Linked DNA regions of Sus scrofa. The main gene of each other region encodes a partner of the protein of the gene in region 4 in a complex. Links are inferred from orthologs where the notes say so. Each region holds a gene or a part of one and is shown on either strand. Other genes may lie near its edges. The genes, in order: SRRM2, CWC15, RBMX2, SRRM1, SNIP1, CRNKL1 and SNRNP40.

Evidence for each region.
Region 1: SRRM1 (region 4) and SRRM2 share a complex: the UniProt entries of both Homo sapiens proteins name them as parts of the minor spliceosome. The link is inferred for Sus scrofa from reciprocal best matches to the Homo sapiens genes SRRM1 and SRRM2.
Region 2: SRRM1 (region 4) and CWC15 share a complex: the UniProt entries of both Homo sapiens proteins name them as parts of the minor spliceosome. The link is inferred for Sus scrofa from reciprocal best matches to the Homo sapiens genes SRRM1 and CWC15.
Region 3: SRRM1 (region 4) and RBMX2 share a complex: the UniProt entries of both Homo sapiens proteins name them as parts of the minor spliceosome. The link is inferred for Sus scrofa from reciprocal best matches to the Homo sapiens genes SRRM1 and RBMX2.
Region 5: SRRM1 (region 4) and SNIP1 share a complex: the UniProt entries of both Homo sapiens proteins name them as parts of the minor spliceosome. The link is inferred for Sus scrofa from reciprocal best matches to the Homo sapiens genes SRRM1 and SNIP1.
Region 6: SRRM1 (region 4) and CRNKL1 share a complex: the UniProt entries of both Homo sapiens proteins name them as parts of the minor spliceosome. The link is inferred for Sus scrofa from reciprocal best matches to the Homo sapiens genes SRRM1 and CRNKL1.
Region 7: SRRM1 (region 4) and SNRNP40 share a complex: the UniProt entries of both Homo sapiens proteins name them as parts of the minor spliceosome. The link is inferred for Sus scrofa from reciprocal best matches to the Homo sapiens genes SRRM1 and SNRNP40.

Annotation. Positions count from the first base shown.
Region 1 is NC_010445.4:39,274,416-39,278,413, reverse strand, and holds the start of SRRM2 (serine/arginine repetitive matrix protein 2), read right to left. Parts: upstream 2,801-3,998; 5' UTR 2,257-2,800; intron 1-2,256. UniProt on the Homo sapiens protein: Required for pre-mRNA splicing as component of the spliceosome. As a component of the minor spliceosome, involved in the splicing of U12-type introns in pre-mRNAs.
Region 2 is NC_010451.4:27,037,281-27,040,780, forward strand, and holds part of CWC15 (spliceosome-associated protein CWC15 homolog), read right to left. Parts: intron 2,131-3,500; coding exon 2,012-2,130; intron 1-2,011. UniProt on the Homo sapiens protein: Involved in pre-mRNA splicing as component of the spliceosome. Component of the PRP19-CDC5L complex that forms an integral part of the spliceosome and is required for activating pre-mRNA splicing.
Region 3 is NC_010461.5:106,879,611-106,883,711, reverse strand, and holds the start of RBMX2 (RNA binding motif protein, X-linked 2), read right to left. Parts: upstream 2,801-4,101; 5' UTR 2,766-2,800; coding exon 2,761-2,765; intron 2,567-2,760; coding exon 2,451-2,566; intron 1-2,450. UniProt on the Homo sapiens protein: Involved in pre-mRNA splicing as component of the activated spliceosome. As a component of the minor spliceosome, involved in the splicing of U12-type introns in pre-mRNAs.
Region 4 is NC_010448.4:82,319,192-82,322,691, reverse strand, and holds part of SRRM1 (serine/arginine repetitive matrix protein 1), read right to left. Parts: intron 3,359-3,500; coding exon 3,164-3,358; intron 2,885-3,163; coding exon 2,765-2,884; intron 710-2,764; coding exon 435-709; intron 1-434. UniProt on the Homo sapiens protein: Part of pre- and post-splicing multiprotein mRNP complexes. As a component of the minor spliceosome, involved in the splicing of U12-type introns in pre-mRNAs. Involved in numerous pre-mRNA processing events.
Region 5 is NC_010448.4:93,609,370-93,613,562, forward strand, and holds the start of SNIP1 (smad nuclear-interacting protein 1), read right to left. Parts: upstream 2,801-4,193; 5' UTR 2,708-2,800; coding exon 2,484-2,707; intron 788-2,483; coding exon 685-787; intron 1-684. UniProt on the Homo sapiens protein: Required for pre-mRNA splicing as component of the spliceosome. As a component of the minor spliceosome, involved in the splicing of U12-type introns in pre-mRNAs. Down-regulates NF-kappa-B signaling by competing with RELA for CREBBP/EP300 binding.
Region 6 is NC_010459.5:28,091,372-28,094,871, forward strand, and holds part of CRNKL1 (crooked neck-like protein 1), read right to left. Parts: intron 1,830-3,500; coding exon 1,638-1,829; intron 506-1,637; coding exon 446-505; intron 1-445. UniProt on the Homo sapiens protein: Involved in pre-mRNA splicing process. As a component of the minor spliceosome, involved in the splicing of U12-type introns in pre-mRNAs.
Region 7 is NC_010448.4:87,862,624-87,866,123, forward strand, and holds part of SNRNP40 (U5 small nuclear ribonucleoprotein 40 kDa protein), read right to left. Parts: intron 1,219-3,500; coding exon 1,096-1,218; intron 1-1,095. UniProt on the Homo sapiens protein: Required for pre-mRNA splicing as component of the activated spliceosome. Component of the U5 small nuclear ribonucleoprotein (snRNP) complex and the U4/U6-U5 tri-snRNP complex, building blocks of the spliceosome.

The DNA.
Region 1 (3,998 bases), on a different chromosome or scaffold from region 4:
CTGTTTGCAGCTCGTTCTTTTCCCACCCCAAAGATACTATTTATCCCAAATTTCTCCACACTGTCCTTTTATTCTCCCTTGGCCCAACTAACTCCTAACCCCTGGCAACTGAGGCCTCCAAACTGGGCACAACAAACACCAAAGAAAGATCTGTGGCACCCAAGGGCCTGCATTCCAAGTTTAAAGACTGTTCTAAGAATTGACCTAAAGATTTCATGCTACCCTGAAAGTACCCTGAAATTATGAATACAAATCGACTAAATAGCCCCTAAGTATTCAAACAAGTGGCCCAGACTAAAGGCCAGCACGAACATCCGAAACACATGAACCTTGATTTGTATATAACCCTCACACCTCACCTCCCAGACAAGGGGCCGCTTCCTATTAACTATCCCAACTGACGTGGATTCCTTCCCAACAGGCTTTCTCGTGTGGTGTGTGGCTCCCAAGTCTCACCAGTTCCTGATAAATATTAATTTTCAACTCAATTCTCTGAACACATCAAACTAGCCTGCCCTGTTTCAACTGTCCCCTTCTCTACATTCCTTCCCCTACCCTTACTCAGAAAACTCCCACTCTTCGTACCTCACATTCGTTACATCAGCTTTCCCTAAGAGTCCCAGGACCTCACTTCCTGGCTTCCTCCTCCAGCCCTCCTCGCCCTCTCACTCATCATCCTGCACCTGCCACCAGAACTTCTACCCTCTCAACCTGTCCCAACCCGGGTGTGGCTCTGAAGAGCCCTCAAACCCTAGTTTTTCTGATTAAATTTCTTGGCTAAATATACTCTATTCCTTTCTCCTGCTATATATTTTTTTTCTCCAACTCATCCTGTCAAAGGTAGTTTTCACAGGGGAAATGTGTGAGGGAAACAACCCCAGGAACGAACCCAAGGAACAAAGGGAGAAAGTAGTGAAAGCAGAGGGGAAAAAAAATATATATAACTGGATAAAAGGGAAGGCTTCATTTTAGAAACCCCCAGAAGGAACATCTGGATGAAGGTACTAAAAGCCCTCCCCACACCTAAGTGGAGAGAGATGTTGACTGAAATGGCAATGGCCCAACTCTAACAATTTGGAGCCCCTTAACCCTCAACTCTAAGGTTGGGACTCTGTTCAATCCCAATTGCAGACTCTGGAGGGAAAAAAAAAAAAAAATCCCTACTGGGGTAAAGGAGTGACACATAAAGCTAAATCTACGAAAAGTCAGTGGAACTATATGAAAATAAATGAAAACCTTTATAGCATATGAAATCCTTCAACCTCCATTTTTATCTTTTTTTTTGTTATTTTTCTCCGCCCCACTCTAAACCTAAGTCCTCTTTGGCTTTCTATACCCTACTTGGTTTCTGCTTCCCTTGCAGAACGCTTCTGATCTGCAATTAATTCTTCAACTCAACCATTCACCCACACTTCCATACCTCCTCACACAATAATCCTCCCACTCCCTGGAGAAGGAAAACCAGTAGATGATAAGCGTGCACTTTAAAATCTATTAAGTCACAACAGATGGGAACGCTTATAGGGAATGAGCCAATAACGAAGCCACAAACACACCATTCAAGACGGCGCTCAAAACATTTTAAGAACGAATAGACAAAAAAGTGTATCAACAACACACACAGATCATCAAAACCACATAAGGATTCTTAAACTGGGGTTCGCAGTCTGTGCATATGCAAAAAATCATCACCCAAGCATGCGGCAAAAAAGCAAAAGCAAGCTGCAAAGAAAGACGAAAGGGAGGTTTTTTTACTGTTGGAAAATCATCACAGTACCAAACTAACTAAGCAGAAAGGAGTTTCAAAATCCAATAATACGGTATTTAAGAAGAGAAATGCACCAAAAGGGGTGGGGAGTGTGCAGAAAAATGGACCTGAGTAACAGCGCAATAAGCTCAGTACAGGAGCAGTGTGGTAGCTGAGTGGACACTAGGCAGCCCAGAAAACGAAAATACTCGCTCAGGAAGAAATCCAAACTCACACACTCAGGAGAAGAAAAAAAACACAAAACACTTTCTCAATTTTTCGACCCAAAATATATCTTAAAGAGGCGTCTGAGAGGAAACCAAAAACTAGAAGACTTGGGCGCCAAATGAAGACAAAGTCCAGCGTTTCCTGAGGCTGGCAGCCTCTTCCCTAACTTTAACATAACTTTTTGGTAAATAACAAAACACGGGGAAAGAGGAAAGAAAGAGAAGGAGCGAAAGAAACAAAAGAAAAACTGAGAAAGCAGTACATGGCCTGCCTCTACGTACCTAGACTGAAGGACTTTTTTCCTAAACGTTTCCCTTTTTTAACGCTTCAAGACAGAGAGTAACGCATCCGAACTGTCTTAAATCTCTTGGGCGTTTAAGTTCAAGGCCTTCTCTGCACTGGCTGAGCCACCAGGGCCTATTTTCGGCCTTGAGGGAGAGGGAGGGGGCTGAGCGGCGCCCCGTAGTCTGGGAGGCTCAAGGCCGGACCACAAGCCTCCGGGAGGGACGGGTTGACCAAACCGAGAGGCTCAGGGGTGAGGAGCCGGGAGCGCCCCCCCCCGGCGCGCCGCCGCCGCCCCCTCCCCGCCGAGAAAATGTCGGCAAGGACAGCTGCAGGAGGGCCTCCCGGCCGCACGCGCTGGGGAGCCGGGAAGCCGAGTCGCGCGCTCCCCCCTCCTCGCCGAGAACGCGCGCGAGGCCGAGGGCAGTCGGCGGCGCGCGCCGTTACCATGGGGGAGGGGAGGAGGAATAAAGACCCGCGCGCGGTAAGAACCCCGAGGAGGGGGAAGGGAAGGCAGGCAAGCGAGAACGTCCGCACGAGCTAGGGGTGGCCAGCGCGCGTGCGCGCGGCGGCCTGAGCCGTTCTCCGCGCGCTTTGGCCTAGCGCCGGGGCCGCCGCCCCTCCCCCACCCGGCTCGCGCGCTCCCTCACCCGCCGCCGCCGCCTCCGCCCGCCGCTTCCGAGGGGGAGAGCTGTTGCCGCCGCCGCCGCTCGAGGTCCTGAGTCCCTCGGCGCCTGGAGTCGCCGCCTTGCCTCCCCGGTCCGCCCGTCTCAGCCGACACAGACGCCTCCTCGCTTCCTCAGGGGCCGCAGCGGGCTCCGACTGCGCCACTCGCACCCCGCCTGGGCCGCGCTGCACGTCAGCACGACGGACTAAGAACGTCAGCACGCTACCGCGCGCGTCGCAGGGCACGCCGGGAGCCGTAGTACTCTCCACGGCCTTGTGCGCAGGCGCCGAGACTGCACCGGGAAGTGTAGTTAATTAAGGCCCGAGGGAAGGGCAACTCCGTTGTCGAAGAACTATGATTCCCGTCGGCCCGTTGCCGACGCGGTCGGAGGAGCGGACCGAGAATGCAAGCAACGCATTCTCGACAGTTTCCGCTGGGAGGCGGAAGACATAGGGCCTATCGCCACATAGCCAGCGCGAGGGCTCTCCTTGACCTCCCGACTTCGTCCCAGGGTATCCTGGGAGTTGTAGTTCTAGGAGGACGCGGAACCCTTAAGTAGCTTCGCCTTCCCCTCACGCGGCCATTTTGTCTCCCCATGTTGGGAGGCGATGGTCCCAAGCCCAGGGACCCTGCGGCTCCCAGGTGATTGCCGTCCCCTGTCCTTCCGCACCCGGGAGACCTCTACCACCCCGCCCAGACCCCGGCCAGCGGACATCCCGGGAACCCCAGAGCCCAGCGTCTGGCTCAGGGCTTGAGCCTTAGGCCCGGCCAGTAGGCGGTCTTGTTCGCAGCTTCTGCCCGCCGCAGACAGTGTTGAACCGGGCGGCTGCACCCCGGGGATGATTTTTTGTTACCATCCCCCGCCTGTAAGGGGGCGATGAGCTTTTTCTCTTAGGGAACCTGAGATGTATCATATACGTGTTAGGGCGAAAACGTTACCGACGCCCTGAAGTTTTCCACCCCTCTGCAGAGTGCCTGAGTCCAGTTTTTTCCAGTGGGAGAGCAGCCAGTCTCCCTCAGAACAGAGGTGGAAGAAGCGAGGCTTCCCAGGCAGGCCACAGTTTCAGCTGGAGT
Region 2 (3,500 bases), on a different chromosome or scaffold from region 4:
GCAGAGCTAGGTCAAACGTGATCTGCATAGTAAGACGTTTCAATCTCCCAACAGCTCTATCCGCAACCAAACAAGGCATAACAACCATATTGTGTAATACGAGTATCATCAATGTAGTTTTTTGCTCTATCCACTCTCCCCTCAGCTTACTCCCAAAAGGCTTTCCCCCCTTCTCAACACCAAATCGCTCTTCCTCGGCGCTAACTCCCATGGCCACCCCGAAGTACTCACTTTGCTTGCCCTCATCACTAGCTGACCTAGATAATCACTCCCCTCTTCTGGAAACACTTAGTGAGACTCCAAGACACTTACCAACGTCTTTTGGTTCATTTCTTCCTCACTGGCTGCTCCTTCTCAGCCTAGTTTTTTTCATTCATAAGTCACTGAATCAATTATTTATTGAGCACCTGGTACACACCAGGTACTGTTCCAGGTCCTGACAGCTAATCACCTGCCCAACCTTGAAACATCACCCCAGGCTCAGTCCCCCGGCCTCCTCTTAGGCTGTACTCGTTCCCCAAGTGAGCCCATCTAGTCTTTGTGGCTTCAGGAAACGTCTCTAAGTCGACAGCTCCCAAATGCATGACCTGTAGGCCAGGCTAATTTCAGAACTGCGTATCAAGCTACCTACTCAACATTCCCACTCCGACGTGTACACCATCGCAAAGACACCATGTCTTACGCCTGTCCCTCTCCCTCGCCCCTCAGTTTACATTCTCCCCCAAATCTGCCCTTTCAACAGCTCAGGTCAAACACCCTGGAGTCTAGTCTCTGATAAAATGTCACCTTCCCAGCAGCAAATCCTCCCTTGACTACGCAGTTGCCATTGTAAGAAGGACTTCTTTTTTTTAACCATGTATGAGTCCGGAAGCCACTGGATGGCTTAGAAAAGGAGAAAGTTATCTTTTATTTTAAAAGGACCATGATGCTGCTATGTTAAAAAAAAACTTGGGGGTAGGGATGGAGAGGGTGATGAGTATGCATACAGACCAGTTAGGGGGACTGCATCACTGCGAGGGAGACGGCAGCAGTGGAGGTGGTGAAAATTAATAGATATGGTTTAAATGTTAAGCCGACAGGGTTCCTCCATCACCTTGTATCAAACAACCACCAGCTTCCACCGAGCACTTTCTGTACATTTGTTTTACTTCCCTGCACGTGAAGCTCTATACACAGCACTGACTGCCTGTATTTACCCCCCTTCAGCCTTCTACTCTACACATGCATGCGTGCGCGCGCGCACACACGCACGCACACACACACACACACACACACACACACGTGCACATACAGGGAAGAGCTCACCCGCAGGCCTGAGACTGACAGCCTTGGAAGGTTGCCTGCAAGCCTGGCCCTTGGCTGGCATTTGGAAAACTGGATTTCAGGAATCTTCTTACTGTCACGGTGTCTAGACTGTCTGCACAAATAATGTGGTCTATGAACACCTGCTTTCTTCTAGGAGTCTCAATTTTTGTATGTGCTAGGCAGAGGCTGCCTATGTGAGTAGCCACTAAAAACCATAGGTATTGGGTCTCTAATGGGTTTTCCTGGGCAGAAACACCGCATTCAGGTTGCTGCCTATTCACTACCAGGGAAAGGGATGTGGTCTGGGTGACCCTTCGTGGGAGGGACAGTACACGCCTTATCCCGTCATGATCTGGTTCACATGCTGAGTCCTCTGACATCTTCCAGAGAGTCTTTGAATGTAAACAGTGGTCCTGGGGACCCCTGACACACACAACTACAATGGAAGCTTTGCAGGGTCAAGGGCCCAGTGCATTGCTCTGTCTCTAGTACCTAGAACAATCGCTGGTACACAGCTGGTTATTGTAACCATATATGGAAAATAAGTTAATTTTCTTTTATTCTCCTTCCATTATTCCACAATGTGATGGAGAAAATTATCAGCGGAGAGTGGAAACGACAAGCTTTACATAATATAGTTTTCTATAAAATTCATAATTTGTGTGTGTGTGTATATATATATATCCAACCCAGTACTATCTAGTACCTTCTTTTAACTTTGAAGTTGGACTGAGGCTGGGATGGGCCAGTGAGGTTAAGGAGAGGGTTTCCACTCAGAATGTTTTCCATACGAATCCTTTCTTCTTCAGCCTTCTGTTCTTGTTCCTGTCAACAACAGGGGAAAATTCGTATTTATTTATATTAACTCTCGGGTCAATCCTATTATACAGCTCACATTGTAGGATTTTAAGAGGGAGATAAGATAAACATCAAGGTAGCATTACTTTTTGTTTTTAAGACATACCAGAAAAGTCCCACTTACCAAAATAAAATAATTCAGCATTTTCATTACAAATATTTCATGCTTGCCGTCATATATTCATTAGTCTCTCTCTGACTTTGAAATTTTTAAGTTGCGTATTTAAACCCACTGTCTTTCTTGAAGTACATAGAAAACTACAAAATTGTTTATTCTAAGAGAATACATCAATAAACATTCTAATAATTTAAGAACATAGAAGACATCAAAAAACTCATTTAGTAAAGCAATTATCTCAATTTTAATTATCTTAATTTTATTAAAAATAATTCTATTTTGTCTTTTTTTTTTTTTTTTCTTTACTATTTCTTTGGGCTGCTCCCGCGGCATATGGAGGGTCCCAGGCTAGGGGTCGAATCAGAGCTGTAGCCACTGGCCTATGCCAGAGCCACAGCAACGCGGGATCTGAGCCGCGTCTGCAACCTACACCACAGCTCACGGCAACGCCGGATCGTTAACCCACTGAGCAAGGGCAGGGACCGAACCTGCAACCTCATGGTTCCTAGTCGGATTCGTTAACCACTGCACCACGACGGGAACTCCAATAATTCTATTTTGAATTACTGACAATGTAAACCTGTATCTCTAGGACTGGTAACAAGTTATTATTAACCAAGATTTATCTTCTAAAGTAAAACAAACCATTATGTAAAAAATTATATTCAGTTAACATGCATTTATACTAATTTTTCTGAGGTTTATCCATTTTATTCTTGATTTATTATTGCTGACTATTTTTATATCTCTCAAGCATCATCAGTTACATGGTTGTCTTTCTTCACTTTTATTTTAGCACTAACCTCTTTAAACTCAAATTATCCTCAGTTTCTTTCTTAGAATTAGAAAATAAAATGGTTAAAGATACTTCATTTTAACGATCAAGTGTGAACAACAGATTTCATTTTTATAAGGCTCAACTACTGGGAGGTGAGAAGATGCAATTTTCAGAGAAATAAATAGGAAAATCCCTTTTGGTCATTTTCAGATCTTAACCAGACAAAAGCAAGGGGCATCTATGATAGATTAAGAACAGATAACTTTCCAAAAACTATATACTTAATAAATTATATTGATGCTAAAAGTAAAAAGACTTACCTCCGAGAAGGTAGAACTATCAGTGCTCAAGCATACAACATATCCAAATTCATAATATAATAACATATGTGAGGGAATAAGGTCCTGCCGATTTTACATTATTTCCTTTAGAGTTACTGGT
Region 3 (4,101 bases), on a different chromosome or scaffold from region 4:
TAATCAAAGAAATCAAAGAAGATGTAAAGAAATGGAAAGATATTCCATGTTCCTGGATTGGGAAAATCAATATTGTAAAAATGGCCAGACTACCCAAAGCAATCTACACATTCAATGCAATCCCTATCAAATTACCCATGACATTGTTCACAGAACTAGAACAAACAATCCAAACATTTATATGGAACAACAAAAGACCCAGAATCGCCAAAGCAATCCTGGAGAAACAAAAACCAAGCAGGAGGCATAACTCTCCCAGACTTCAAGAAATACTACAAAGCCACAGTCATCAAAACAGTGTGCTACTGGTATCAAAACAGACAGACAGACCAATGGAACAGAATAGAGAACCCGGAAATAAACCCTGACACCTATGGTCAATTAATCTTTGACAAGGGAGGCAAGAACATAAAATGGGGAAAAGAAAGTCTATTCAGCAAGCATTGCTGGGAAACCTGGACAGCTGCATGCAAAGCAATGAAACTAGAACACACCCTCACACCATGCACAAAAATAAACTCCAAATGGCTGAAAGACTTAAATGTAAGACAGGACACCATCAAACTCCTAGAAGAAAACATAGGCAAAACACTCTCTGACATCAACATCATGAATATTTTCTCAGGTCAGTCTCCCAAAGCAATAGAAATAAGAGCAAAAATTTACCAATGGGAACTAATCAAACTGAAAAGCTTTTGCACAGCAAAGGAAACCCAAAAGAAAACAAAAAGACAACTTTCAGAATGGGAGAAAATAGTTTCAAATGATGCAACCGACAAGGGCTTAATCTCTAGAATATATAAACAACTTATACAACCCAACAGCAAAAAAGCCAATCAAGCAATGGAAAAATGGGCAAAAGACCTGAATAGACATTTCTCCAAAGATATCCAGATGGCCAACAAACACATGAAAAAATGCTCAACATCGCTGATTATAAGAGAAATGCAAATCAAAACTACCATGAGATATCACCTCACACCAGTCAGAATGGCCATCATTAATAAATCCACAAAGAACAAGTGCTGGAGGGGCTGTGGAGAAAAGGGAACCCTCCTGCACTGTTGGTGGGAATGTAAACTGGTACAGCCACTATGGAGAACAGTTTGGAGATACCTTAGAAATCTATACACAGACCTTCCATATGACCCCGCAATCCCACTCTTGGGCATCTATCCGGACAAAACTCTACTTAAAAGAGACACGTGCACCCACATGTTCATTGCAGCACTATTCACAATAGCCAGGACATGGAAACAACCCAAATGTCCATCGACAGATGATTGGATTTGGAAGATGTGGAATACTATGGAATACAATGGAATACTACTCAGCCATAAAAAAGAACGACATAACGCCATTTGCAGCAACATGGATGGAACTAGAGAATCTCATACTGAGTGAAATGAGCCAGAAAGACAAAGACAAATACCATATGATATCACTCATAACTGGAATCTAATATCCAGCACAAATGAACATCTCCTCAGAAAAGAAAACCATGGACTTGGAGAAGAGACTTGTGACTGCCTGATGGGAGGGGGAGGGAGTGGGAGGGATCGGGAGCTTGGGCTGATCAGACACAACTTAGAATAGATTTACAAGGAGATCCTGCTGAATAGCATTGAGAACTTTGTCTAGATACTCATGTTGCAAAAGAAGAAAGGGTGGGGGAAAAATGTAATTGTAATGTATACATGTAAGGATAACCTGATCCCCTTGCTGTACAGTGGGAAAAAAAAAATATTAACCCCACCTCACAATTGTTAAGGATTTCATAGGAAATAAATTCCCCTACGAATGTTTCCTTCTTCATCTGTAAAATGGGGATATTGGCACTTACCTCACAGAATTGTAATAAGAATGAAAATAAAACAATGGCTATAAAGTGCCTAGCACAATGTCTGTTGTAATAATCTCTTCGAATAAACTGTCAAATTACAGAATGTGACACAGTGAATATGGAAATGATGATGTGGCCATGGACGGGGAAATAAATTCTGCGTGAAGGGTAATGAAGGGAGAGGGAGTTGGCAGTAATACCGGATAGTGGCTGATACCAGGAGTTCTCAAACCCCACAGTTCTTGCTGTTCCACTTGCTAGCTATGCGACCTGAAGGAAGTCCATTAACTTTTCTGCATCTCAGTTTCCTTAGGTGTATAACTAGAGGACAAGAGGATGATAATAACAGTCTCTGAGAAACCAAACGGCACGATTCTTAGCACACTGAATGGCAGGCAGTACCTATCATGAACGCTGATTTGGCAGCGAGAGCAAACTAGAAATGAGCTAGAAAAGCGACCTGGAAAACGGATTTATAGGCCGACAGTGGAAGTAAATAAAAGTGGGTGATGAATGTCGGGAGGAATGATGGGCGGGAATGCTGAAATGTTAGGAGGCAGGCCAGGAGAGAATGAGAAGCCCTGCGGGAGAAAGATGTGGGCCTCACCTAGGAAGATCCAGGCGCTGTCCTTGTACTCGGAGTGCCAAGACACCTTCTCCGCCACCCCCAGCTGGACCTCACGCTCATTCAGCTCGTTGATCAGCTTCACTTTAGTTAAAGGGCTGCACAAGGGGCGGAAAAGCGGACAAGTAAGCGCGGCCTAGCCTGAGGTAAAGGAGAGCAAAACTGGGAGACTAATTTTCTAGTATCTGCGCCTCCCCCGCTCCTCAGCCTCACAAGTGCTCTACCACTCCAGCTTCAGTGAACTACCCCCGGCCGCCTGTCCCCTTTTCCCAAAAGGAACCTGAGGCCTTACTTCATCTCCGCGGGTTCGCCCTCAGCACCTAGGAAGCGACTTCCGGGAGAGGCTGCAAGACGCATGCGCGACCCGGCGCTGCGCGCCCATTGGTCTCAGCTGCGCGCTTACGCCGCGCCGGAAGAGCCGGGCCGCGCTGGGGCGTGGCGCCTGCGCACTACGTCAGTAAGCGGCTTCTCTTGTTCCGCCGATGTCGCTCTTTTTCTGTAGACCCTCGCTTCCACCGTGCTTGGAGTTGGACGAGGGTGCGAGCCTGGTTTGTTACAGGACTCCGAACTCCTAAACGATGCCTGGCATTTATTGGGTTAACTATAAATGTTTTTTGAAGGAAGACTTTGAGAGGTGCCTGATAACGGCGACTTGAGTCCCATCCTTCTCTTCCAGTGCAAATCCTCATTCTGTCCTTAACTCCCAGCCAATTACTCACACGCACACCGCCATGAAAGCATCCCTGTTCAGGAGTTACAGCAGAAATGTGAAAAAGCTGTGTGAGAGGGTAAATCTTTTTGTCTCAAATCGCACCGCATAGGCAACTGACCACTGTGCCTCCATAGGCTGAATTGAATACCCAGATTTGTGTGAATGCTGCTAACCGTTTTCCATAGTCTGTCTGCTACTCAAGCAGGAGGTAGGAATTGGTATTGTTAAATTAATAACTAACAGTTGAGCAGGTAATGATAGATTGTGTGCTAAGCAATTTACATGTATTGGCCCTCCTGTGAAGGCTTAGATACAATTATCCTCCCCGTTTCGTAGCAGAAACTGAGTTTAAAGGAGTTAAATAACTTGGATGGTACTCTGTCTCTATCCATCAGATCCACTTGATTTATCGGTCCTTACTGAGCATCTGTATTTGTCCTATACAGTAAGTCTGCAGATGGGAATGTAAGGTTGGGTTCTCTGCCTTCAAAGAGCTAATAATATCATTGAGGAGACAGGGCTTGATAGATTTGACTCCAGAAATAATCAGGAACCTGTAGAAGAGATGATGGCATGTAATGTGTGAATTAAGCCATTCTGAAGATTCAAATCCATCTTGCATGTGTCCACATCAATTCTGGCCTTAGACCATGCAAATTATGTCAAAGTCAAATTATGGGGCTGTATAGTTCTCTGTGTAGGCCTAGCTCACAGCCCCAGAAATTAAAAGCACTTTGATGATGGTGACAGTGACAACTGTACCCTCAATGGTTCACCATGTACCCAATGTCTTCCCAAGAAGCAGAACAGGCTGCCCACCAATGACAGTTTTTGTGTCTGTCCCCCTCCCCCACTTCCAACCCAGCTATTCATTAACTTTGTAGAATTACCTTGGCAATGAAAACTAAACAGTGACAGATT
Region 4 (3,500 bases):
CAGCCCTGGGGAGTACAATGTGGCCAAGAAAGAATTAAAACAAAATATGAAGTCCTCAATTAAGGTATCAAACAAAAAATCTTCTGGGTTAAAAAAAAAAAAAAAAGTTAACTGGTCTCATAATAATAAAATGTTCCCTTACCATGACAACACAAACTTCAGTTAAGTTACCTCAACTCAAACAGCCCACGCCTGGTAATAGCACATCTCTCCACCTACTCAACGCCGAGGGCATGCTAAGAGCAAAACGCTTTACCATGTAGACTCCATTAACAAACCCCAAGAACTTACAGCACGAAAGAAAAGGTGAGCTTCTCAGCAAATTTATAAAAACATCACATACGAATATTACCCAGCTACTTCATACTTTGACAACAATGACGACTAGGTATTTTGTAGCCAAATGAACAAAGAAAGAACATATTGATTTTTACCTTTACCTGAAGTCCTCCCTGGAGAGACAGAAACACGACTCTTCCTTGTACGATTTGACTGCTGGGGTGTTGGGGAATGACGAGTTTTTGGTGGTGGAGTTGCTGGAGGTGAGGGCCTATGCCTTCGCCTTGGAGGACTTGCTGAAGGAGATAGCCTACGAGTTTTTCGAGGGGGGCTGGATGTCCTCTTTGGAGCCTTCTTTGGCGGTGACCGGGAACGAGACGAAGATGATGATGAGCTACTTCCAGACAAGGATGCTGATGAACGCCTTCTTCTGTGGAATAAAGTGCTCATATTCATTAACTGCATACGTACCGAGAACGACCTTACAGGAATGTACAGTTTACACAAAAATACAGCTATTTGTATCCAACTTTTGAGTTTATGTAGCTAAGCACATTAATTTTTTAAAGGGAAACAACACCATAACCTAGGCAGGAAACAGCTAGTTCTGAGACTAACTACAAATAACTTATTCTGATAAATGCTTCTGTTTGATTTTTATTTCCAGCTATAAAATATGTCCAGTGCTACAATATAATAACTAGCCAGTCTCTTCCTTCCTTGGAATAATGAGTGTTTTGGAGTTTGCATATAAAATTTGGATGGCAAAGTATTTTTTCACTCAATAATAAAATGTCAACCTTTAGGCTGCATTTTTAAAAAAAAAGATGTGCAGGATTAGGAATTCATTTAGCTACATAAACTTAGAAGCAGGGGCCTCTCGAATTCTGCGGCAAAATTTGTGGTAAGTTCTGTGCAATTATGTGTACCTGCAGAATTCACCTTTGGCGGAAGAATTCCTGAGAACCTGAAAAAAAGAAACCCTACCTTAAGTGTGAGATAAAAACTGGCTGAAAGGGAATCTTACACAATCTGCAAATTATTTGACTGCTAAATGGCTCAGTAAGCAATTAAAACACACTTTTTGCAAAACTCCAATGTAAGAAATAGCTGTTTCCACTAATCTTCTACTAGAAAGCAGTAGCTCTACTTTTCTAAGGAACAATCATTTTTAGAAAAGTATGACGCCTAAACTGGCTGACCATTTACATCCTTAGTCTTATTTATTTATCAATGGTAACATCAATTCCGTAATTTTTAGCAGTAGTTATAAAAAATGGTTCAATAAACTCGAAAACCAAAAACTCTGTCCTAAGTATAATCTGAAGTATAATTATCAGGTCCTTCCAAAAACAGGTGAAATGTATTGTCAAGAAAGCACAAAACTAGAGTTCTCGCCATGGCACAGTGGGTTAAGAATCTGGCATTGCTGCAACTGCACATAGGTTGCAGCTATGGCTAGGATTCAGTCCCTGGCTCAGGAACTTCCACATGCCTTGGGTGCAGCCATAATTTTTTTTTTTTAATTTAAAAATTAAAAAAAATTTAAAAGGTACAAAGCTCTGCTACCAGTACACCATGCCTCCACTTTGGGCAGATGTAACAATTTTTCTATTACAAGTGATAGATTATGCTAATTTATTCATTTATTGATTTTTCTTTTTAGGGCCACAACTGTAGCACGTGAAAGTTCCTGGGCTAGGGGTCAAATCAGAGCTGCAGCTGCCAGCCTACACCACAGCCACAGCAACACCAGAACCAAGCCACATCTGCGACCTATGCCACAGCTTGCAGTGATGCTGAATCCTTTAACCCACTGAGCGAGGCTAGGAATGGAACCTGCATCCTCATGGATACTAGTTGGGTTCCTAACCACTAAGCCACAACAGCAACTTCCACCTTATGCTAATTTAAAAATGATTTTTAAAAAGGAACACTGGTATTGACAGGGTTACTTTTATGCGGCCTCTTCAAATTGCTAACAATAGTTATATCTATGGAATGGGACTGGGTAACTCTAAGTTCGTTTTACTTGTTTTAACTGTTTATAATAACTGCTCACTACTTCTTAAATATGAAAAAAATCTTTAAGAGTATAAATCAAGTGAATTATTTTAATACTGGTAGAGCAATCAACTGGCTCTGCAGTCATCTATATTTAGAAGCTAATGGTTAAAACCCAAAGAAAGGGTAAGGCAGCCAATTCCCTTACTTGATAGGATTTCTTGGTAGCATCTGAAAAGATCAAGGTTAACACAGATAACAAGTATCAATAAGATAGTGAATTTGTTTTTAATTTTCCAAATCTGGATTAGTGTTGCTTAGCATTGCACAAGTAACAGCACTACAACCTCAAATGAGGATGATCTTTATAAGACATTGCTTAATACCACTCATGACTTCTTTTTTCCCAGGATGACACTAATTCAAAGATTAGCCTAAAACAAATATATGGTCACTTCCAAAACAAAAAACCACCTCTCACCGTCTCACTGGAGATCTACTCCTTCTATGCCTTGGTGGAGGAGGCATTCGTCTCGGTGGAGTTCTTCTTCGAGGAGATGGCCGTCTTCTTGGGCTTGGCCGCCTTCTAGGGGAGTATGATCTACCATAACAAACAGAATTAGAATCTGAATAAATCTTGAGCAAGAACAAACACCTTGACATAGTTTTCTTGACAACTACATCCAAAAAACGGTTTTCAAGGGATATGAGTGTGTAGATTTTTACAGACCATACAAAGTGCCCTCAAATTCTCTCTAAATTCAAAGTTTAACATTTGTGCAAAATTTTTCTACTGCTTTGAAATAATTTACCCAATTCTATCTAGGAGAGTTAGCACATAAAATTTAAGATCTAGGCAGATATTACAGCCATTACCCACCTTGATCGGGATCTATGGCGCCTTCTAGGTCGAGTATGAGAAGGAGAGCGAGAACGTGTCCGGGATCTTGACTTGGAACGTGACCGAGATCTTGGTCTGGTCTTCTCCTTTTCCTTTTCCTTTTTGGAATTCTTCTCTGGAGAAGGTTCTTTAGGCTCTGGTACAGGTTCAGGCTTGGGAACTTTCAGGATGTCACTGTGGGGGGAAAAAAAGCTTACTTTCCCCCTCTTCTCAGAATCCCAAGTCATAATACAATGATACAAAAAGTTTATCTTTCTTTGGTTTTCAAAATTCATGAAGATGTCTAGAAAGATATATACACATCAGTAAAATTCAG
Region 5 (4,193 bases), about 11 Mb from region 4:
TGGGAAAATGGTTAAACCCATACCAGTGAATATCATTCGGCAATAAAAAGAATGAACTACAGAGATGCAATAATCTAAATGCATCTGCAAAGAATTTTGCAGAATGGAAAAAAGCCAATCCCATAAGACTGCATACTGTATGATTTCATTTACATAATATTTGTGAAATGACAAAATTACAAAATGGAAACGAGATGAGAAGCTGCCAGGAATTGAGGGCTAAGGGTGCGAAGGAAATGAATATGACTACAAAAGGACTATATGAGGGATCTTGTGGTGATGGAAAGGTTTTGCATGTTAACTGTATTGATGTCAATATTTTGGTTGTGAATAGATAATCAACAAGGACCTACTGTACACCAGAGGGAACTATCATTAAACTATACTTTAATTAAAAACAAAAACCACTTTTCCCTTAAAAATTTTTTCTGGTTGGAATAGAGTTCTATAATTATGTAAAATGCTTCCAATGGGAGAAACAACCACTTCTGTATTATTTTCTTACAACTGCAGGTGAATCAACAGTTATCTCAAAATAAAAGGTTTAGTTTAACGAAGTAAACAGGCAGACAAAAAAACCCCAAAAAGCCAGTTTCTAGAAAAGCCCACCGCAGGCAGAGGTGAACACACACACAACACTCCAGCTCTGATGGAGCCGGTATGAAAACATCTCAATCCGCTTACCTGCTTCACTTTGACTGTTGAGTGGTGAGGACTTCGGCTTCTCCTACTCCGGGGAGACTTGCTTCTTCTCCCCGAGGACTTATTTTTCTTTCTCGGTGGGGACCTGTTCAGAGAATGGTACACATAAATTTCATCTCAATTTTCATTCGCTCATACAAATTAGCTTCAAGTATCAGGCCTATCTACTAACACAAACATCACATTTGTGAAGGCTTCTGCTGATCACACTAAAGGAGTCAGGAGCTTCACTTTTTCAGCCCTGAATGTCTCCCACATATGTAGCTGCCAATTGAAACTTCTCACTTCGATAAGAGAAGGCTAAATTCCCACCTCTCAACTTTCCTATCTTTGCCATCAGGGTAACTGATACCACTATCCATCCGTTCCTCAGGCCAAAAACCTAGAAGTCATCCTAGATTCTTTTTTTTTCTCCCCCTTACCACCAAGAGGCCCCATGCTCCTCCCCAACACGCTCACAATCAATCAGCAAGTCCTCTGGCTCCAGGCTCTACCTCTTCTCTCTCCCACCGCATTCCTACCCACCTCACTATACCGGATCCCCTCCCCTCCTCCTTTTCTAGAAGGAACACAATTAATTCCACTTCAGGATCTTTGCACTGCTTGTTTTCTCTGATTAGATCTTTACAAGCCTGGATTATTTTTATCAATCAGGTTTCAGGTCAAGTGGCAGACTTTTCACAGAGAACCACTTCTCTCCACTCTCTATGACATTACTGTCTTAACCTATCCCTAGTACTTGTTACTAACAAATTATTTTCTTTATTTCCTTGTTATTCTGTCTCAGGGCTAGAGCATCTCAGTTTCACCAGGGTAGAGATCATCTATCATGCTCATTCTTTCCACCCCAATACCCAGGACGGCCTGCCTGCCTGCCTCATATTTTCTTTTCTTTTTCTTTCTTTCTTCCTTTTTTTTTTTTTTTTTTTTTTTGTCTTTTTAGGGCCACACCCTTAGCATATGGAAGTTCCCAGGCTAGGGGTCAAATCAGAGCCACAGCTGCTGGCCTACGCCACAGCCATAGCAACACAGGATCAGAGCCGCATCTTCGACCTACAATGCAGCTTATGGCAACGCTGGATCCTGAACCCACTGATCGAGGCCAGGGATGAATTCTACATCCTCATAGTCCTCAAGAATACTAGTCCAGTTCGTTACTGCTGAGGTACAATGGGAACTCCCATTATTTTCTTTATTTCAGTTTTATCTGTGTATAATTTTACAGTTTGATTCAAATTCCACATATACATTTATATTTTAAAAAATTGTACATAGCTATTTTCCACATTATTTTATAACCTATGAGGTCTTTAGCACATAATAAGTACTCGACAAAACTATGTCGAATGAATGAATAAATTGTTCGCAAAAGACAATTTCCCCCCAGAATATCAGACAGATCACCTAGGCTCAGGATATGAAAACTTCTTGGGGCAGATAACTGAAAAAATAACCCCATTTGGAGGCAGGTGGGAAAAATCTTTCATTTCAACATAAACTATCATTGTCATCAGCTGGACCATACTCGGAGAAATGCTGAGCACACAGAGATGAAGGAGCAAGAACTTGCCCATCAGGCATTAGGCGTTTAACGCCCAGGTATAACGCAAGTAACAGGTATCAGAGTAAACGTTAACACACTCACAACCGGTCACTTCTATCGCCTTAGGATTAATTCAAGCTGCCGCGCTCAGCATTCAAGGTGTGCTCCTGGTGCCAGCCCTGTCCCCCTTTCTCAAAAAGCCCGACCTCAGGTCTACCCCAGGCTGCTTCCCACTTACCGGCTACCTCCTCGAGCTCGGTTCCCGCGGTGACCGGGGCGGCCTGACTCGCCGGCCAGCGGGGAAGGGCTACCGCCGGAGGAGTCCGGACGGCGATGGACAGGAGGCGCGGATTCCGGGCTGAGGCGCTCCTGCTTCACCACCACCGTCGCCGCCGCCACCATGTCCCCGTCCCGGTGCCTTCGCCGACTTCCCCGCTCCCGCTCGCTCTTCACCTCCTTCATGCTGTGAAACGGCTGAGCCAAGGAAAAACAGGACCGTCGCGCTCCTCTCCGTGAAGGAAATGACGGACTTGAGTCCTGGACTTCCGCTTCCGGGTGCGCGCTCTCCCAGAAACCCTCGCGGCGGATAACGCGATCAGAATCCCGAGTGGGCGGGGCCTTAGGGACCCGACTCTGTGGGGCGGGAGTTTTAGGTTTCAAAAACAAATTGGGGGGAAAAAGCTCCTCTCAAGGTTGTTTGTTGACGCGTTATTACTAGTTACTAAACATGGGGACAAACTACACATCCAGCAGTAGAAAAGAGATTATGTCACCATTTGCAATGGTATTTACAAACTATACGACAAATGGAAAAAAGTCTGACTTGTTAAATGGAAGAAGCAAGATGCAAAATTGTGCGCAGACTGTGATGACATTTACGTTTGGAAATACGAAGGAAAGGGGAAGAGAAGGAAATGCAATCACAGATCGTAGCCCGGGCAAATCGTCGGCCGGGCAAATCGTCGCCATTTCTCCATTAAAGGCAAACTCTTTTTAAAACCTGGGAACTTTAAATGCCTTCCTCTGGGAATCTTCCTCAGCCTTCACTGAGGAGTCAAATGATTCCATTTGCGGGTGACAAAATCCAGGATCAGCGAAAGTGATCTGCGCCTTACTCAAACCGTGAGCTGGACGCAGCGAAGGGATCCAGAACTCAAGTTTCCCCTGCTTCCAAGAGTGCTAAGGCGATCCCGGTGAGCAGGAGGCTTGACAAGCTAAACGCAGGAGAACTTTCCTCGAAGGTTGAGCAGAAAGAAACTCTCGAGCTGCTGGCCCCGCCCCGCCTCGAAGCCCCGCCCAGGCCATGAGGATGTCAAGGACGTTTCCATGGCGACGGCAAACACTGCCCTGACAGGAGGGTCGCTGCTGTGCTGCTACCCTCGCCGCCGCCATGATCCCCCCCGCCGACTCTCTGCTCAAGTATGATACCCCGGTATTGGTGAGCCGCAACACGGAGAAACGGAGTCCCAAAGTAAGGAGGAGTCTCAGGATGGGGGAGCTCGGAAACTCCCACGGGGAATGACAGATCCCTGCCTTGAGGATTGGGAGTCCCAAGGGACAGAGGGTGCAGTGACTGGGAATAAAGGGAATTAGGACCAGGCAAGGAGGGTGGGAGAGCGGTACAAGAAGCCCAGATGTTGGGTGATCCTAAGGGCAGATTTAGGATGGGAAAAAAAGTCACAGAGAGATGGATGGGGCTCCCTGCCCTATCCAGGTAGTGTACAAGGATAGATCTGATAGTGACTGGCCCCATCTCTAAAGGTAAGAAAGTAAAGGCCTGAGCAACATCTGCACAAGGAGATAGAAGCATTGAGTTGGGGTGGGACCAGAGATTCTTCATGGCCTCCTTCAGCTCTGAAACATAACTTCTAATGAGGAAGAGTGATCTGAGAATGGGGGAGAGGTATGCGAGTGACCCGGTGAAAGCCTGCCAAAGTGTGTGGAGCTG
Region 6 (3,500 bases), on a different chromosome or scaffold from region 4:
CAGAACACTCCCCCTCTATTCCAGAGGGCACCTCGGGCAACATCTCTGTCTCTCATGCTGGGAAAGATGGCAGAGACCACATGTCAACCATTTCCACAACACACGTGTTCCTCACGCCTACATGTCCACTGGGGGCCAACAGACCCTTGCTGGCTGTCCGCATGCTCAGTGAGAGCTCCAGGAGTGCACCTCCCTCTCTCACCCGGTCTGTTCGGCTTACCCTCCGCCCCTGCATTTCTACATTATTATCTGTGTCAGTCACTGGTCACCTAACACAGGCTGTCCATTCAACCAGGCTGCAAGCTGTTTTCAGAGGCAAAGAGCATGTCTTGTTCTTCATTATGTTTTTCACAGTGCCTTGCACAGGTATTTCACTGAATGGTTTCACAAGCCACAGAGGCAGGACTCTGATGTGTCTGGAACAGAACACTAAGGGCAAACGTACCTTTTTATGAGGAATGAGTTCCAAAGAGGCTTGGTAAACCTGTCTTGTCCTCTCGGGATCCTGTATCAGGATGAGAAATTTTTACAAAAAGTTCACATCTATTACTAATACTAATTTTACTATTACTGATAAAAATGGTACACCCCAACACTGAATATGCTAAGGTACTTTCAAAACCTTATTCCATTTATGATCAAAAGTGAATTAGGTGTTTCTGTTGTGGTTCAGTGGAAACGAACCTGACTAGCATCCATGAGGACATGGGTTCGATCCCTGGCTTCGATCAGTGGATGATCCCGCGTTGATGTAAGTGGTGGTGTAGGTCGCAGATGTGGCTCGGATCCTGAGTTGCTGTGGCTGTGGTGTAGGCTGGTGGCTACAGCTCTGATTTGACCCCCAGCCTGGGAACCTTCATATGCCGTGGGTGTGGCCCTAAAAAGCACACACACACACACAAAGTAAATTACATTTGGCCACCAAACTTTGATTAAAGAATTACCCATAACATAGTCTTCAAACTCTGAAAGCTTCTCTGTGGAAAGGCTTTTTTGCCTGACAGCAGAAACAAAGATGTGCTATAGCCTCAGATCAAAAACAGAAAATTAATCTTTTCCCATTAACCTATACAAAACAACTTCTGAAAATTCCACTTTTCTTTTTTTTTTCTGGCTGTGCCTGTGGCATGTGAAAGTTCCTGGATCAGAGATCAAACCTGTGCCACAGCCGTGACCCAAGCTGCTTCAGTGACAACACCGAGTTCCTAAGCCACTGTGCCACAAGAGCACTCCCTTGATCTTTACTAAAAGCAAGAACATGCAATCCAGCTGTGATACTATTTATCAGAAAATCCAGGAAACTATATGTAATTAAACTAAGGGGTGGCCCATTGTTCCCTTTCAAGTTCTAAGTAATACTCTTGTTATGCCTCAAGGTTAAGAAAAATACAATGCCAACTTAAAACTCTATACACCTGTGCCCACAATAGGTGTACAGAGTTTAAAACCTGGCAGAGAGAATGATTCATTATTTGGCTGAATGGAGGCTTATGAGAATCTAAAGCAAAACTCCTATTGCAAGGATTCTAAGAGTCTGCTCCCACCACACCTGCTGAGCCGAAGCGCAGGGGGGAGGAGCCTGTCGGCGCAGGGGGAGGAGCCCGTCAGCGCCTGCCCAGGGCCCCGCCGCTTCGCACCTTTGCCTCCAGCTCCTCATACAGGGCGTAGTTGACCCAAAGATAGATGTAGCGCTTCCAGTGCCTCTTCTCCTGGATGGGCGGGACGTTGGCGATGGCACGCTCATACACTTCTCGCACAGTCTCTGCTTCGGCGTCACTCTCCACCAAGCGCAAGTAATCAAACCAAGCGTCGTAGTTGTGCGGGTTAGCCTAGAAAGTTAAGGCCGGTAAATAAAACCGAAGAGCTGTGCCTGCTGGACTATGTGAGATGAAAGGTGGCACCAGACTGACTTCCTATATCTTAGCCACTTTTTTCTAGACTTCACATGCTATTTCATTAAGAAATATCATTCTTCTGTGGCTCTGGTGTAGGCTGGTGGCTACAGCTCTGATTCGACCCCTAGCCTGGGAACCTCCATATGCCACGGGGGCGGCCCTAAAAAGGACAAAAGACCAAAAGAAAAAAAAAAAAATCTATATCTACATATATCATTATTGAGGGGGCAGATCAAGATAGATAGAGGAACAGAAGGACGTGGAGCTCCCCTCCTCCTGCAAATATACCCACATGTGGGACAATTCTCACAGTATACTAACTGGACACGGGCAGATCTCAGATACCCCGGAATGCCAGAAAGATCTCCACGTAATCAGATAGGATGAAAAGGAAAAAAAGAAAAAAGAAGAAGGAAGCCGGACAGGACCTGTGCCCCTGAGAGTGAGCTGTGAAAGAGGAAATGGCCCACATCCTGGGAAGACCCCTCACCCGAGGGGAGATCAGCTGGGACAGAAAGGGAGCTTCAGAGGCTTGGAGGAGAGCGTAGCAGCCAGCTGGTGGGAGGCAGAACAGAGAGACCAGCCCAGAGGATCCCTGCTACCTCGCTGCTGTCTCTACCCCAAGACACGCGCCTCCTATGTGTAGGGGCCAGGTGATGAAAATCGGGCTTCAAAGGACAGATCCAGGGAGAGGACTGAAGCTGGCTGCGTGGAGACAGCCTGAAGAGGCTGGAGTGGGGTATGGACCACAACCCAGGATGTACAGGGAAGCCCAGGCCCCCACAGAAGCTAAGCGCCATTGTTAAGGGGCCCCATGAAGGGAGAGGTAGGCTCACCATAGCTGCCCCTTCCTCAGCATGCACTCAGCCACAGCGGCACCTCTACAAGCTTTGGGAGCACGCAAGTGCCAGTGATTGCCCACACCCAGAAGTGGAGCTGATCCCAGGGGCTGTGCACTAAGAAAGCAGGGCTAAAACCTAAGCCCTCTCCCCGAGGCTGTGCAATCCACGGATTTGTGCCACAGCTGCCAGCTCTGTAAACTCAGCGCCCGTGGGACATCTGAGTGGACAGTCATGCTCCATGGCTAGAGCGGGGCCAGCCTTGGCAGCTGTGTGTGCGTGCATGTGGAGTTGGGCTGGGGTCTGGGCTGCTTGCACGGCTCCCACGGAAGGTCCAAGGGCATGACTACTGTAGTCCCAGTACCTGATTTCAGTGGATCGGCACCTATGGATCTGCACTGGTGGGTTTGTGAACACAACACCTGAAGGGACCCCAGGGCCAATCACCTGTATGCCCACAACTGAGGTGGGTCGAGGGTAGCGCCAAAAGGAGTGTACTTTGTCAGCTTGCACAATGGGTGACAGGCGACACCACACACTCCCCAGTGGACGGCTCCAGCGGAGGGATACTCAGTGGCTCCTCTCCTAGTGGGAGTGCTACAGTCCCACCTACCTCACACCACAGCTCAGAAATGGAGCTGGGGGCTTCTACTTCAACACTTAGGAAGCAGACCCTGCCCTCAACAGGCCTGTGACAACCACAGAGCAAAAAAAGGAGGCCTCCCACTCAATATCCAGCACAGGCTGTGGTCACCACAGCACCAGC
Region 7 (3,500 bases), about 5.5 Mb from region 4:
CAGAGGCTGAAAGAAGTTAAGGAACTACCTTGAATTAACAAAAAACCGCAAAATGGTGGAATTGAGATCAGACCCCAAGTCAATTACCTGAAAGCTTTAGCTACACTATACTGCCACATAGTCTACTGCCTCCTTCTTTCTCCAACATCATTACCTTCTCACATTCTTAGCTATGGATCCCTCAAAACTTCCTTTCTATAGTCTCAAAAAGAAAGACATACTGAGAGATTAGGGTACAGAATCACAAATTGATTTACTGCTATCTCAAGAGACAAATGCAGGGGTTTTTGTTGTTTTTTGTTTTTTTTTTGTCTTTTCAGGGCCGAACCTGGGGCATATGGAAGTTTCCATGGCTAGGGATGGAATCAGAGCTGTAGCTGCTGACCTACAGACACAGCAATGTCAGATCCAAGCTGTGTCTGTCACCTACACCACAGCTCACAGCAATGCCAGATCATTAACCCACTGAATGAGGCCAGGGATCGAACCTGAGTCCTCATGCATACTAGTTGGGTTCATTACTGCTGAGCCACAACAGAACTCCCCAATGCAAATTAAAAAAAAAAAAAAAAAAAAGTTTCCGGAGTTCCCGTCATGGCGCAGTGGTTAACGAATCTGACTAGGAACCATGAGGTTGCGGGTTTGGTCCCTGCCCTTGCTCAGTGGGTTAAGGATCCGGCGTTGCCGTGAGCTGTGGTGTAGGTTGCAGACGCGGCTCGGTTCCCAGCTCCGATTGGACCCCTAGCCTGGGAACCTCCATATGCCGCGGGAGCGGCCCAAGAAATAACAAAAAGACCAAAAAAAAAAAAAAAAAAGTTTCAAATACCTTTAGGCAGGGAATGCATTCTTCACTTTCAAAGTTCACACATAAGAACTTCCTATTTCACGTTAACTGCCTGGTTCCTGACAGCATTTATACAAGCTGCAATGCAACCATGACTTAGGAAGTCAATGAGGATAGGACAGAAAGGAAACGACTTCTAAGTTATTATCTTCCATTTAGTTGGTATAAAGTGCAAACCTAAGAAGTATGGAAAAATTTACCTCTGTGAGTGGAGATAGGTGAGAGGTAAACATAACAAACATCTAACATACCTTGATATCATTGTCTATTCCACCAGAAATAATTTGATCACTTGTGTCATTGAAGGTCACAGCTAACACCTGGTAGGTATTCTGAAATGTCTGGATGGCTGCTTTCTTACGGATGTCCCAAAGCTGAAAAAGAAGACAAGAGAATCTACAGTAACATCACTCTAAGAAGCAACTGCATAGTACACCCTTAAGTCCAAGGACTTTTACAGAGGTGAAAACATTTGAAATGGGGACCCTGTTCCGAAACTTGTCTGGATATCCTATAAACATCGTGAAAAGTGACTATAATTTTGCCAACATATCTGAAGGCTGGTGGAACAAATCACGCTGGTTCTATTTTCAGACTCCTTTGTTAAAGTTTTTTTTTTTGTGTGTGTGTGTTTTAGGGCTGCACCCGTGGCATATGGAGGTTCCCAGGCTAGGGGTCTAATTGGAGCTGTAGCCACTGGTCTACGCCAGAGCCACAACAATGTGGATCCAAGCCGCATCTGCAACGTACACCACAGCTCATGGCAATGCAGCATCCTTAACCCACTAAGCAAGCCCAAGGATTGAACCCAAAACCTCATGGTTCCTAGTCAGATTCATTAACCACTGAGCCGCGACGGGAACTTAAAGTTTGAATAAACACAGTTAACAAACATGTCCTTGGAGTAAAAATCTTTACCTTGTTTATTAGTTCATATGTTCTTAGTATACAAAGGGTATTATTAGTTCAGTATTTTCAAACTGTAGATATTAATTCATTAGTGGGCTGCAACTTACATTTAAAGAAAAAAAAATATATATATATATGGGGGCGGGGGGACAGACAGAGGAGCCTACATCAGTGAAAAAGGCAAGAGCAGGGATTGCCCAAAAATTGTTCCTACAAGAGCAGAGACTTACCTGGCAAAAAACCTGGCAGAATCAACTTTATCAAAACTCTAGAAACTAGAGTTTACAGCAACCAAGTGAATATTTAATGAGGAAAAACCCACCTGGGGTCTAGTAAGAAGAGTTTTGCAGTATTTTAACTCACTCCATTCCTACTCAGCAACAGCTTTGAAGACAACAGTCTACAATCCTGGTATAGGTTCCTAAGTACCTGAGGAAGATGAATGGACCTTCCTTCTTCCTTTTTAATTAAAATTAAAAATTTTTACATTTTATAAATTTTTTTTTAAATTAAAGTATTGTTGATTAACAATGTTGTGCCAATTCCTTCCTTCCTTTTCTTTCTTTTGCTTTTTAGGGCCTGTGGCATATGGAAGGTCTCTGGCTAGGGGTTGAATTGGAGCTACAGCTGCCAGCCTATGCCAAAGTCACAGGCACATAAGATCCAAGCCGTGTCTGTGACCTACACCATCAACTCATGGCAACGCCAGATCCTTTAACCCACTGAGAGGCTAGGGATCAAACCAGCATCCTCATGGTTACTAGTTGGGCTCGTTACCGCTGAGCCACAATGGTAACTTCCTGTTGTGGCAGTTCCTGCTGTACAGCAAAGTGACCCAGTCCTTCATATATACACATTCCCTTTCTTGTATTATCTTCCATCCTGGTCTATCCTGAGAGAATGAATATAGTTCCCTGTCCTATACCATAGGATCTCATTGCTTATCCATCCTAAATGTAATAGTTTGCATCTACTAACCTCAAACTCCCAGTCCATCCCACCTCCTTCCACTCTTCCCTTTGGCAACCACAAGCCTGTTCGCTATGTCTATGAGTCTGTTTCATAAATAGGTTCATTTGTGTCATATTTCAGATCCTAATATTTTAAATTTATTAGGATTTTTATTTTAAAGACTTTAAGTTAGAGGTTCTCTTGAGGCGTTTTTTTTTGTTTGTTTGTTTCTTTTTTTGCTTTGCTTTTTTAGGGCTGCATTCACAGCCACAGCAATGCCAGATCCAAGCTACATCTGTGACATACACCACAGCTTTAGGCAAAGCTGGATCCTTAACCCACTGAGCAAGGCCAGGGATCAAACCCGCATCTTCATGGATACTAGTTGGGTTCTTAACCCAATGAGCCATGATGGGAACTCCACAACCATAATTTAAGATTATTTTATTTTGAAATAGTCACACTTACCAAAGAAGCTGCAAAAGTGAACTCTTCTTCTGCCTAAATTATTTTAGAATTGCTACCCTCATGTTCTGATGCTTGTAAATACTTCAGCGTTTACTACATTTGTTCTCCAAAGATGTTTCCCTACATAATCTGAACACAATCATCAGAATCAAGAAACTAACATGGGAACTTCCACATGCTCATGGGGCCAAAACAAAACAAAGCAAAAAAACATCTAACACTAGGCGTTCCCATCGTGGCACAGTGGAAATGAATCCAACTAGGAACCATGAGGTTGCAGGTTCGATCCCTGGCCTTGCTCAGTGGGTTAAGGATCTGGCATTGCCAT